Oryzias latipes: one gene and its partner. Each later gene encodes a partner of the first gene's protein in a complex. Links are inferred from orthologs where the notes say so. Each region holds a gene or a part of one and is shown on either strand. Other genes may lie near its edges. The genes, in order: dffb and dffa.

Evidence for each region.
Region 2: the proteins of dffb (region 1) and dffa are in contact, whole or in part, in an NMR structure (PDB 1F2R), measured with the Mus musculus proteins. The link is inferred for Oryzias latipes from reciprocal best matches to the Homo sapiens genes DFFB and DFFA. Residues at the interface, in NP_031885.3 of Mus musculus: Cys10, Lys12, Arg14, Ala19, Cys20, Lys21, Phe22, Gly23, Val24, Ala25, Ala26, Arg39; in NP_001020467.1 of Mus musculus: Asp66, Thr68, Ile69, Val70, Asp71, Asp72, Asp74, Tyr75, Trp94, Tyr96, Asp100.

Annotation. Positions count from the first base shown.
Region 1 is NC_019865.2:672,269-676,565, forward strand, and holds dffb (DNA fragmentation factor subunit beta), read left to right. Parts: upstream 1-1,266; 5' UTR 1,267-1,329; coding exon 1,330-1,440; intron 1,441-1,600; coding exon 1,601-1,727; intron 1,728-1,794; coding exon 1,795-1,980; intron 1,981-2,704; coding exon 2,705-2,784; intron 2,785-2,852; coding exon 2,853-3,026; intron 3,027-3,086; coding exon 3,087-3,187; intron 3,188-3,258; coding exon 3,259-3,508; 3' UTR 3,509-4,277; downstream 4,278-4,297. UniProt on the Homo sapiens protein: Nuclease that induces DNA fragmentation and chromatin condensation during apoptosis. Degrades naked DNA and induces apoptotic morphology.
Region 2 is NC_019865.2:9,511,648-9,516,196, reverse strand, and holds the start of dffa (DNA fragmentation factor subunit alpha), read left to right. Parts: upstream 1-1,522; 5' UTR 1,523-1,627; coding exon 1,628-1,721; intron 1,722-2,922; coding exon 2,923-3,081; intron 3,082-3,164; coding exon 3,165-3,319; intron 3,320-4,313; coding exon 4,314-4,524; intron 4,525-4,549. Other genes in the region: peroxisomal membrane protein PEX14, read right to left, coding at 1,218-1,253. UniProt on the Homo sapiens protein: Inhibitor of the caspase-activated DNase (DFF40).

The DNA of each region.
Region 1 (4,297 bases):
GCACTTCCTCCCAAACAGCTGAGACCCTCAGTGTGGATGAAGATGATTATTGAAATTTAGTCAGAGAGGATGTGCTCCCTATTTTGAGTCTGTGTTGAAAGTTTTTTTTTAAGTTTACTCTTTAAACCACAAATCAGTAAAGGAAAAACAAAATTCAGAAATCGTTTTTGGATTTTCTTCCTGATGACTTTTTGCACATTTAAACCCCGGTCACAAGATGTTGTAGAGCAGCCGGTCAGCCACTCTTATATTTTCATAGTTGAATTCAAACTGTGGTTCCTAAAAGAACGGGTACTGTTCACTGGAGATCAGAACAATGGTTACCTGAGATCAAAGAACGGCTCCAAAACGGATGGAAATTCATGTTGGTGACACCAAATATGTGCAGCCAAGATGCACAATAAGCGTGTTTGAGATCACGCTGGAAATTTAGTACTGCACTGACTGTAAGCTGCCCGCATGACTACAAAACAATGCATTGTGGGACATGTGTCCTGATGGGTTTTTGTAGTTCACTGATCAATTAAAATAATTTAAAATACCAATTGATTAAAAAAAGTCTACATACATTAAAAAACATTAAAATAATTATAAAAGATATAATAACACAGATCATAGGGGGTAAGGCATATTAAAACGAAATTGAAAGTTAAAGACAACTCCAGCTTCCTGTTCTCCTTCAGTCTTGCTGCAGATTCGCCTTCATCTCACAACCCCACATAACGAGCGAATAGACACTTTCTAAAAAGGAAAGTAAGGAACTCCTTAGTGTGGTCTGGGGAGGGGGCTGTCAGGTGCTGCTTTCAAGCCCGGTCACTGTCACGCCCCCAAGAGACATTTACCCCACTGTGATTGGTTGGTTGGTCAGCTCCGCGCACGACAAAGAAAAAGTGTCATTCATACAAATTGGCCGGCTGCATTAACATTAAACTTTCATATTAAGGCGGGGGCCGCAAAATATCATCTTGGGGGTCGCAAATAGCCCGCGGGACCCAAGTTTGAGACCCTTGGCCTGATGTAAATGAACTTGCTGATAAGCGGATGTGGACTTTCAAAATAAAAGCCGTATATTGCTCTGTCTAAACTGATTCTCCGCAGATTTCTTTAGTATATCTCTGTAGAGATTTACATTTCTGTTGTTGTTGTTTTTTCTTATTATTTTTGCTTTGATCGCCTGAAATAAACAATTTCCATTCTAGACGGGAAAGCTGTTTTGAACGTGTTTTCCTGTCAGTGGGGACCACGCCAGCAGGGGGCAGCACCGCGGCGCAGCAGCATGGGGATCGCAGAAGAAGAACGGCCAGGAAGCGGCACGTTCGAAGAGGAAACATGTTCGGAATCAAACCCGTCAAAGTTCGGAGTCTGCGTGGAAACAGCAAGTACGGAGTAGCAGGCAGAGACGTGGAAGAGCTGCTCCAGAAGAGCTGCCGCTTGTTCCAGGTGAGCCCGAACTCCTCAGGGTTCTCCGGAACACGGCTCGCTTCGTTTGAGAACTTGACTGATCATGATGATGCAAACCCCAAACCAGAAAAGCCGTCACTGATTTGGTAGAACCACGACCAGAACCAACTGCAGTAACTTTTGCTTCGTTGGATTTCAGCTGCCGGTGTCTGGGGCCCGGTTCTGTCTGTACGAAGACGGAACCACTGTGACCCAGGAGTTCTTCCAGACTCTGCCGGAGAACACCGAGCTGGTCCTCCTGTCGGGAAAGCAGACATGGGGTGGAGGTACCACAGTTTCACCTGCAGACCCCTCCGGTTTGGGTTTGTAGTTCTAACATTGTGGGTGTTGTAGTTTTTAGCGACGTCAGTCAGCTTCTGCAGACAGACCGACATGCTGAGGGCCTCATCCAGGCTGCGAAATGGCTTCTCTGCGAGGAGGAGTCCTTCAAGAGACGGAAGATCCTCGCCGACCTGCTGCAGAACCTGGAGGACCGGTCCGAGCTGGAGAGCAGGCAGGAGGACCAGGACTGGTTCAGCGGTACGAGATGTGGCTGGGATGTTTCCCAAGAACTTTCTGTGGGTCCACACATTTCTAGGGTCCAAAGTTGGTGACCACAAACAATAGAGCTTCCAATTCCAAACGCAGAAATAAATCAAGTAGATCTCAAATTAAGCAAGTTATTAATATTTTACGTCTTGCTGATTTGTTTTTGCGGCTAGAAAACAATGGGAAACGTTGGAATCACAGGTTTGTCTTTTTCAATACCACATCTTCCCTATCTGTGCTCTAAACACCATCAATGTGTCACAGGACATTATTAAACGGATCCTGCAGTGTTTCGTCACCTTTATGTTATTACCTGCTTTACATCTACCCAATGCAGTTTATCATACAGTATTTACATTTTACGTTGTTGCCAGACTCGGGTCTGCAACGGCGAACGTTTCATGGAGATTCCTCCATGTTTTGGGGACCTTGTCTATCTGGTAACTTTCACAAAGATGTGAAATGGAACCAAAGCTGCTCACAAACCTCCACTAAGTCCACGCTACCTTTTGTAGAATCTAAGTAAAAGCTACCTCAGTATTTATGTCAGTTTTCCAATGTGGAAACCAAGTTCTCCAACGGGGAATTGAACACGCGCAGACGGCGTGCACAGTGACGCCCTTAGCGGTACCGACTTTCTGGCACCACATCCTTCAGCGGACATTCTAAGGTTCTACAGGGGAAGTTTTCCAAACTCGTTTTTGTCTCCATTCAGGAGTTGATTCTCGATTTAAAACCAAGTCGGCCTACATGAAGTACAACTGTGCCAGCAGGATACGAGGCTACCTGAAGGAGGTGAGTCTCCGGATCAGAACCCGGGTCCGCCGGGTCCACGGTCCTGAAGCCTTTCTTCCTGTTTGAAGGTGGATCTGGCCTCCAAAAGCATAAACAAAGCCAAAGTCAGAGAGGAATATTCCAGAGCCTTCAAGCTCCTGGTAGAAATGCTGAAAGGTGACGGTTATAACGGCAGCTACTTCGACAGGAGCGCAGAGGAACGGCGCCGTCTCTGCACGCAGCAGGGATGGTTCACCTGCCAGGTGAGGAGTGTCAGCAGAGGTTCTGCCTGTAGCTCTGGAGCTGATCCTGTCCTCCTTCAGGGACCGTTTGACCAGAGGACGTGCCAGCAGCTCCACTCCATCAACCCCTACAGCAGCAGGGAGAGCAGGATCATCTTCAGCACCTGGAACCTGGACCACAGGTGGGTCTGCAGCCTTTTGGTCGATGCCACACCTCCACGCTCATCTTCTCCATCTTTTCACGTCGTCTCAGGATTGAGAAGAAGAGGACCGTCATTCCCACGCTGCTGGAGCTCCTAGAGACTCACCAGAGCTCAGCGGTCAACCTGGACTATTTCTACGGCCTGCTGTTCACCAGACAGAACCTGAAGTTGGTTCACATCGTTTGTCACAAGAAAGGAGGTCACAACCTTTCATGCGACGCCAGCATGGCGGTGAGGGCCTCCAGCCACGCAGGGGGAGTGAAGAAGAAGGTCCAGGTGAAGAAGAGGCGAGTTCTTTAGACGGAGAACCGTTCTCTTCCCTCAATCAGTGCAGCGTTTCCCACAAAGCTTCACAATCAGGAAGGTTTTATTTCCCCAACATTTTGGCACAAATACAATCATAGACTCTAAACTTAAAAGATCAAAGCATTCTGCATAAATAAGGCAGTAAAGTATGTACAGGATTTCACAGAATGATCCGTTTTTACAAACCATGCCATGTTGTGTTTAGTGCAATCATTGAACCTGCTAAAAATCCAACGCATCTACTGATCATCTGCAGATGGAAATGTATAGAAAAGTACAAACGTTATATCAAGGTCACGCGTGAAGAAGCTCCTTCAGGATTAGTAGCTGCGCTGGCGTCTCACACATTCATGAGGAAAAGCTGCCGAACTTTTGGTGAATCAGACTTGTACAGCAGGTCTCTGCCCCGTTGGATCACCTGACGTGTCGTCCAGGTTTGATCTTCAGGCCGATTTGGAAAAACTGCATCGTGGAACCCGAGAACCTCTGCCGCTCTTCCAAAGCCAAACCGACGCGGCGTCTGGACCCAGCTTCTCTTCTTGAAGTAGCTTCATTGTCTTGGATGCGAAGAGAAGACACCAGGTCCTGACGCCGTGACCATTGGCTGTTTGAGAGGACTAGAGTGGGTGACTCCACCCCCCTGGCGTTCCAAACAGGAAGTGGCTCCAAGAAGCCAAAATCCCGTAGACTTCTCTAGAGAAACAAACCGCTGTTCCTCAGTCATTCTGTTGGTCAAAATAAACCTTCTGGATCTGAGACCTTCTAACATCTTCTGGTCACATG
Region 2 (4,549 bases), about 8.8 Mb from region 1:
AGTTCCAAAAATCATCACGTCTTTAAATGTTTCCATCTGCAATCAGCTAAATGCATTCAGTAGACTTTTACCTAAAAAGGACCCCAAAAGTAAATACATAATTTAAGGGGTTCTTTTTTTTTTTAATCATATCAAATTTAAGCTAGAGTTTGATCCTTAAAAATTATACCAGTGAAAGTTTAGGTCTGAATAGAAGACATCAAAAATACAGGAAATATTCCATAATTTCAACAACAGTTACTAATAATTTAACTAAAAAAGCAGTTTTTTTTTCAATAGTTACTGGCTTTCCAACCCCTCTTGATGAATCCTCATGGCAAAGTTAAAGGTTTGGAGTTTTTCTTATCATATTTCTCAGGGCAAACAGACCATTTTAGGTTGAAGATAACAAGATAAAGTATACAAATAGGGTGTAAACACAATAATACTGTGCCCTCCAAGTAAAAAAATAAATAAAAAAGGACAAGGTAGAATGTGACAAAAACATCTTTATCAGTTATTTTGGGCTTATTACAGGACCTGGACACTGAAAAGCTCCAAATCATAGTAATGTGCATTAGAGGGAACCAATGACACTGTTTGGTGTTTAATGACTTAATATAGAAGACTACTGTGAAATTTAAAGTGCAATGATAGAATGTGCGAATATTTTTTACCCAGACAAGTGTGGTGACTTTTGGAAACTTTTAAGACTGCTCTGGGATCGACTTTTACGTTAAAGTGAGTTGGAGAGCACCATGATTACTGAATTTGTGAAAACATAAAGGTAGCATTTCAGATATGGTGAAGCTTAGCCGTATAAAGCATTGTAACTGCAGTAAATTATTTTTGATCCATGTTCGTGGAACATTAAATGTCGAATATAAAATCCCGAGGTTTTTTTTTTTTTTGTGACCTTTCCCTGTGTCAACAATTATAATCCATGACTTTGACAGACCCAAACCCTCACCGCCATATAGAAAGCTGTAGCACGTGGTCAGTTATTAAATGCATAATTGTTGCTGAACCCCAGAATGCCTTTGACCTCCCATGTGTCGAAGACCACTTTAAAATAACACAACCAGTTAGCATGCTAACTAGCAAACAAGCTACCTCTCTTCGGCTGTGAAACGTTTGCTTAAAAGGTGTACGGAAACCAGCCACAAAATAGCAACTCAAACAAATGGTGCATAAATGTTTTCGGACGTCAAATGCTAACTGGCTTGGTGTATAGAGACCTGTGTTGGCGTGTCAGCTTGGTCGATGGATGCCATCTTCCTATAGTTCTCTGGGATATCCACGCTCGATTGCTTTTCCTGTTCCGTCCATTCGAAACATCAAAGTTCTTTAAAGCGTTTTATTTAGTTTAGTTGGGATGCACTTTCATCGGAACAAAGTACAGTGATGTATTTTTCCCCTCTCAGTTGCGAAATACGTTGAGCGGATTACGAAACAGAGTGGAGATAGGTAGACTAAACCTTTCCCCATTTCTCAAACAATAAACAACAATTCCCACAATTCATAGCGCCCTTCGGCGGTTATTTCCGTGTATGAAGAAGTAAAGGTGGCTGAGAGCTCAAAGCGGGTTTTCCCATTCTCTGTAGATTCCTTTACCGAATAATATTATCCTTTCAGAATAAATTTAAGAATGACTGATGGAAAGGCGTGTAAAGTGTGCAATTTCACCCGGCAAAAATCCTACGGAGTGTCTGCACCTTCTTTAGATGACTTGAAGAAAAAAGGTAAGGGAGGACCGAGAAGGAGGACTGTGGGAACTAGTATGAGATTATCTGACATTATATGCTTTTAATCAAAATAAGAAGCCGTTCATGTATTCGTGCAGTCGCAGATTTTAAGCATTTATTTTTATTTATCTGCTTCGCGCCTAAATTGAGAGAAAATCTCCAACCGCTGCACTGACTGTCACATTTAAAACTGCTTAAGCCGCAAAACAACGGTGATAATACTAGGCTATTCTTAATGCTTATGAATGTATTTGACTATAATTATATTATCTGTTCAATGTTAACCCCTACATGGCTAACATGAAAAGCCTGCTGCTGTTCATTCCTGAGATGCGAGTCACCAGGCGTTTCCCTGATCTGCTTTTTGCAAGAATATACTTTAAATATTCATTATCTGGAATCAAAACAATGTTTCACAACCCCCCCCCCCCCCCCCCACACACACACACACACACACAAACAACAACAACAACAACTAAAACCAGCAATTATAGTTTATGCATTTTTAAAATTATTATTATTATTAAATATTTCTTTTGTGCACTTATACATGTTCCATAATTGTGATATATTCCTTTTAATCGGAATGCTTATTAAAGGTGTTTTGCAGATTTGTTATGAAAGCTGTTTGAGAATTATTTAACAATATGTATTTTTAATAACAGTGAAAACGTTTTTATTTTTTCCAGCTATACTGGAACAAAAACTTTTTCAAAGAGGGCCAGATTTGGTGAGGTGAAAATGTGTGAGGGCCATCCAATTGGCCTATAAAAACCAGTTTGATCCAATTATTCACTGTTAAAGGCTAACTGTAAACTTGTCAGTTTCTATCATTGAACAATGAAATAACACAAATATTATGTTAGTCAGAAGTGGTTTTGATGACAGAAACAAATAAATCTCTTCATGTCTACAGGTTGTTGCATAGGTCCACGGTTTATAACGCAATCTAGCCAATCACAATCAAGAAACTGTAGTTCTTAGAAAGTGCTGTGGGCCGCATATTATTGAGGTTGCCGGCTGGTGGAAATTGGTTGCATTTGACCCACGGGCCGGACTTTGGACATGCCTGTCCTTACTGTAGTGTTTTTATCATTGGTATTTCCCATAGGTGTCAGACTTTTCTGTGGACCTTAGGATGAAGTATGTTCACTTGATGCATGTTAAGTTGGTAACCTGTCCTCTCTTCCGGCTCCAGGATCCGAGTATCTTGGCTTCAGCCCCGGTGACCCAGTCAAAGTGGTCCTGGAGAATGACGGGACAATAGTAGAAGATCAAACCTACTTCTTGTGTTTGCCCTCAAATACAAAGTTTATGTTATTGCATGACAAGGAAACATGGTCTCCAGCTCGCAAGAGTAAGAATCTCAGAGTCCATATTGATGATCATTATCCGTCTGCAGGATTTCTACATGTTGTGCTTTGGTACTCTTTGTTTTAGTCGATGGTGGCACCGCTTGGATGCAGAGGGAATCGGTTATGCTGGAGATGGACACTGTTGACACCGGCAGTAGCTTAGCACCCTGGTTGGACCTGGCTCAGCAGCTAAAACAAGACCTCACCAGCATCATTCTTATGTCGGAGGCCGATTTACAGGTCCTACCTTGTTCTTATTTCAGTGATAGAACAGCACAAAACTGCCTGGTATATGAGAAAATAAAACTTAAAAATAACAGTTTAGCGGTTTCCATAAAGATTTTTGGAATATTGTCAGTGACCATAAGGTTTGAAAGTTCTCTGACTTGCAAAACAAAATAAAACCATATTTTCTATGCCACCGTAAACTTACTATTGGTCATTATGGCCAAGAAACTCCACTTTGGTGTTAGATGCTTCTAAGCTTTAGCACCAAAAGTCTTCTGTTTTAGTCAAAGTCAATTTGAAGAACTCAAAATTCCATAACTTTTTTGGACTTTATATCTGTCTCCCCATTCAAATAAACAATTTAGTCTTCTGCACACCGCTTCCTGGTACTTAACATTTAGGTAAATATGCATAGACATATACACGTGTGAGGCGAAGAAACTCCTTAAATAATCAGAAATAATCTTTCTAACCACAGACTTTTGAATTCCAAAATGTCAGCTTTACAACACAATTATGTGCTTCTGCTTCCCACAAGCAAGCCACAATTGTAGAATATTCTACATTTTTCGTACCTTTAAACTGCTTTTTAGGACTTATAAGTTAATTAGTGAAGCTACTTTATAATCCAACCCTACAAAAGCACCAAAGGCCAACGTTTGAATGCTCTTTTATAAATTACATTATGAAAATAAAAATGTTTCTTCAACTCAAGAAAACCTTTGATCAGATTAATTTTATTTCATTTAAAGTTAAAGAACTCCACACAAGATTCTACTCCTAACGAATTAGGAGTTGTTGTTTAGTTCATATTTGCTTTTGTTGTTGTTTATTCAAAAAATATATATGTTTACGTTTGGTTAGTTGACAAAAATAAACCTTATAGATTATGCTCTCCCTGTGCTGTGTATTATATCTAGAGCTTAGTACACACACTAAAATATGGCCTCACATTTGTATCCAGTTCTAAACAGCTGTTGCTTTACAAACAACTTTTGTTTTTCAGCTCTTGGTGGATGCTCCTAGCACCGAACTAGCAGCAGCTCTGGGTTTTCAAGTGAAAAAGGCTGAGGACCTGCAGGAGACGTTGCAGAATGTTTTGGATCGTAGGGAGGAGGAGAGACAGTCCAAGGAGTTGCTCCAGCTCTACCTCCGAACTGTGGAGAAGGAGGACAAACAGCTGGAGGAAGCAAGTCAGTCCAGCACCGGCACGGGAGGTATGGCTTTGACTTTACTACATCA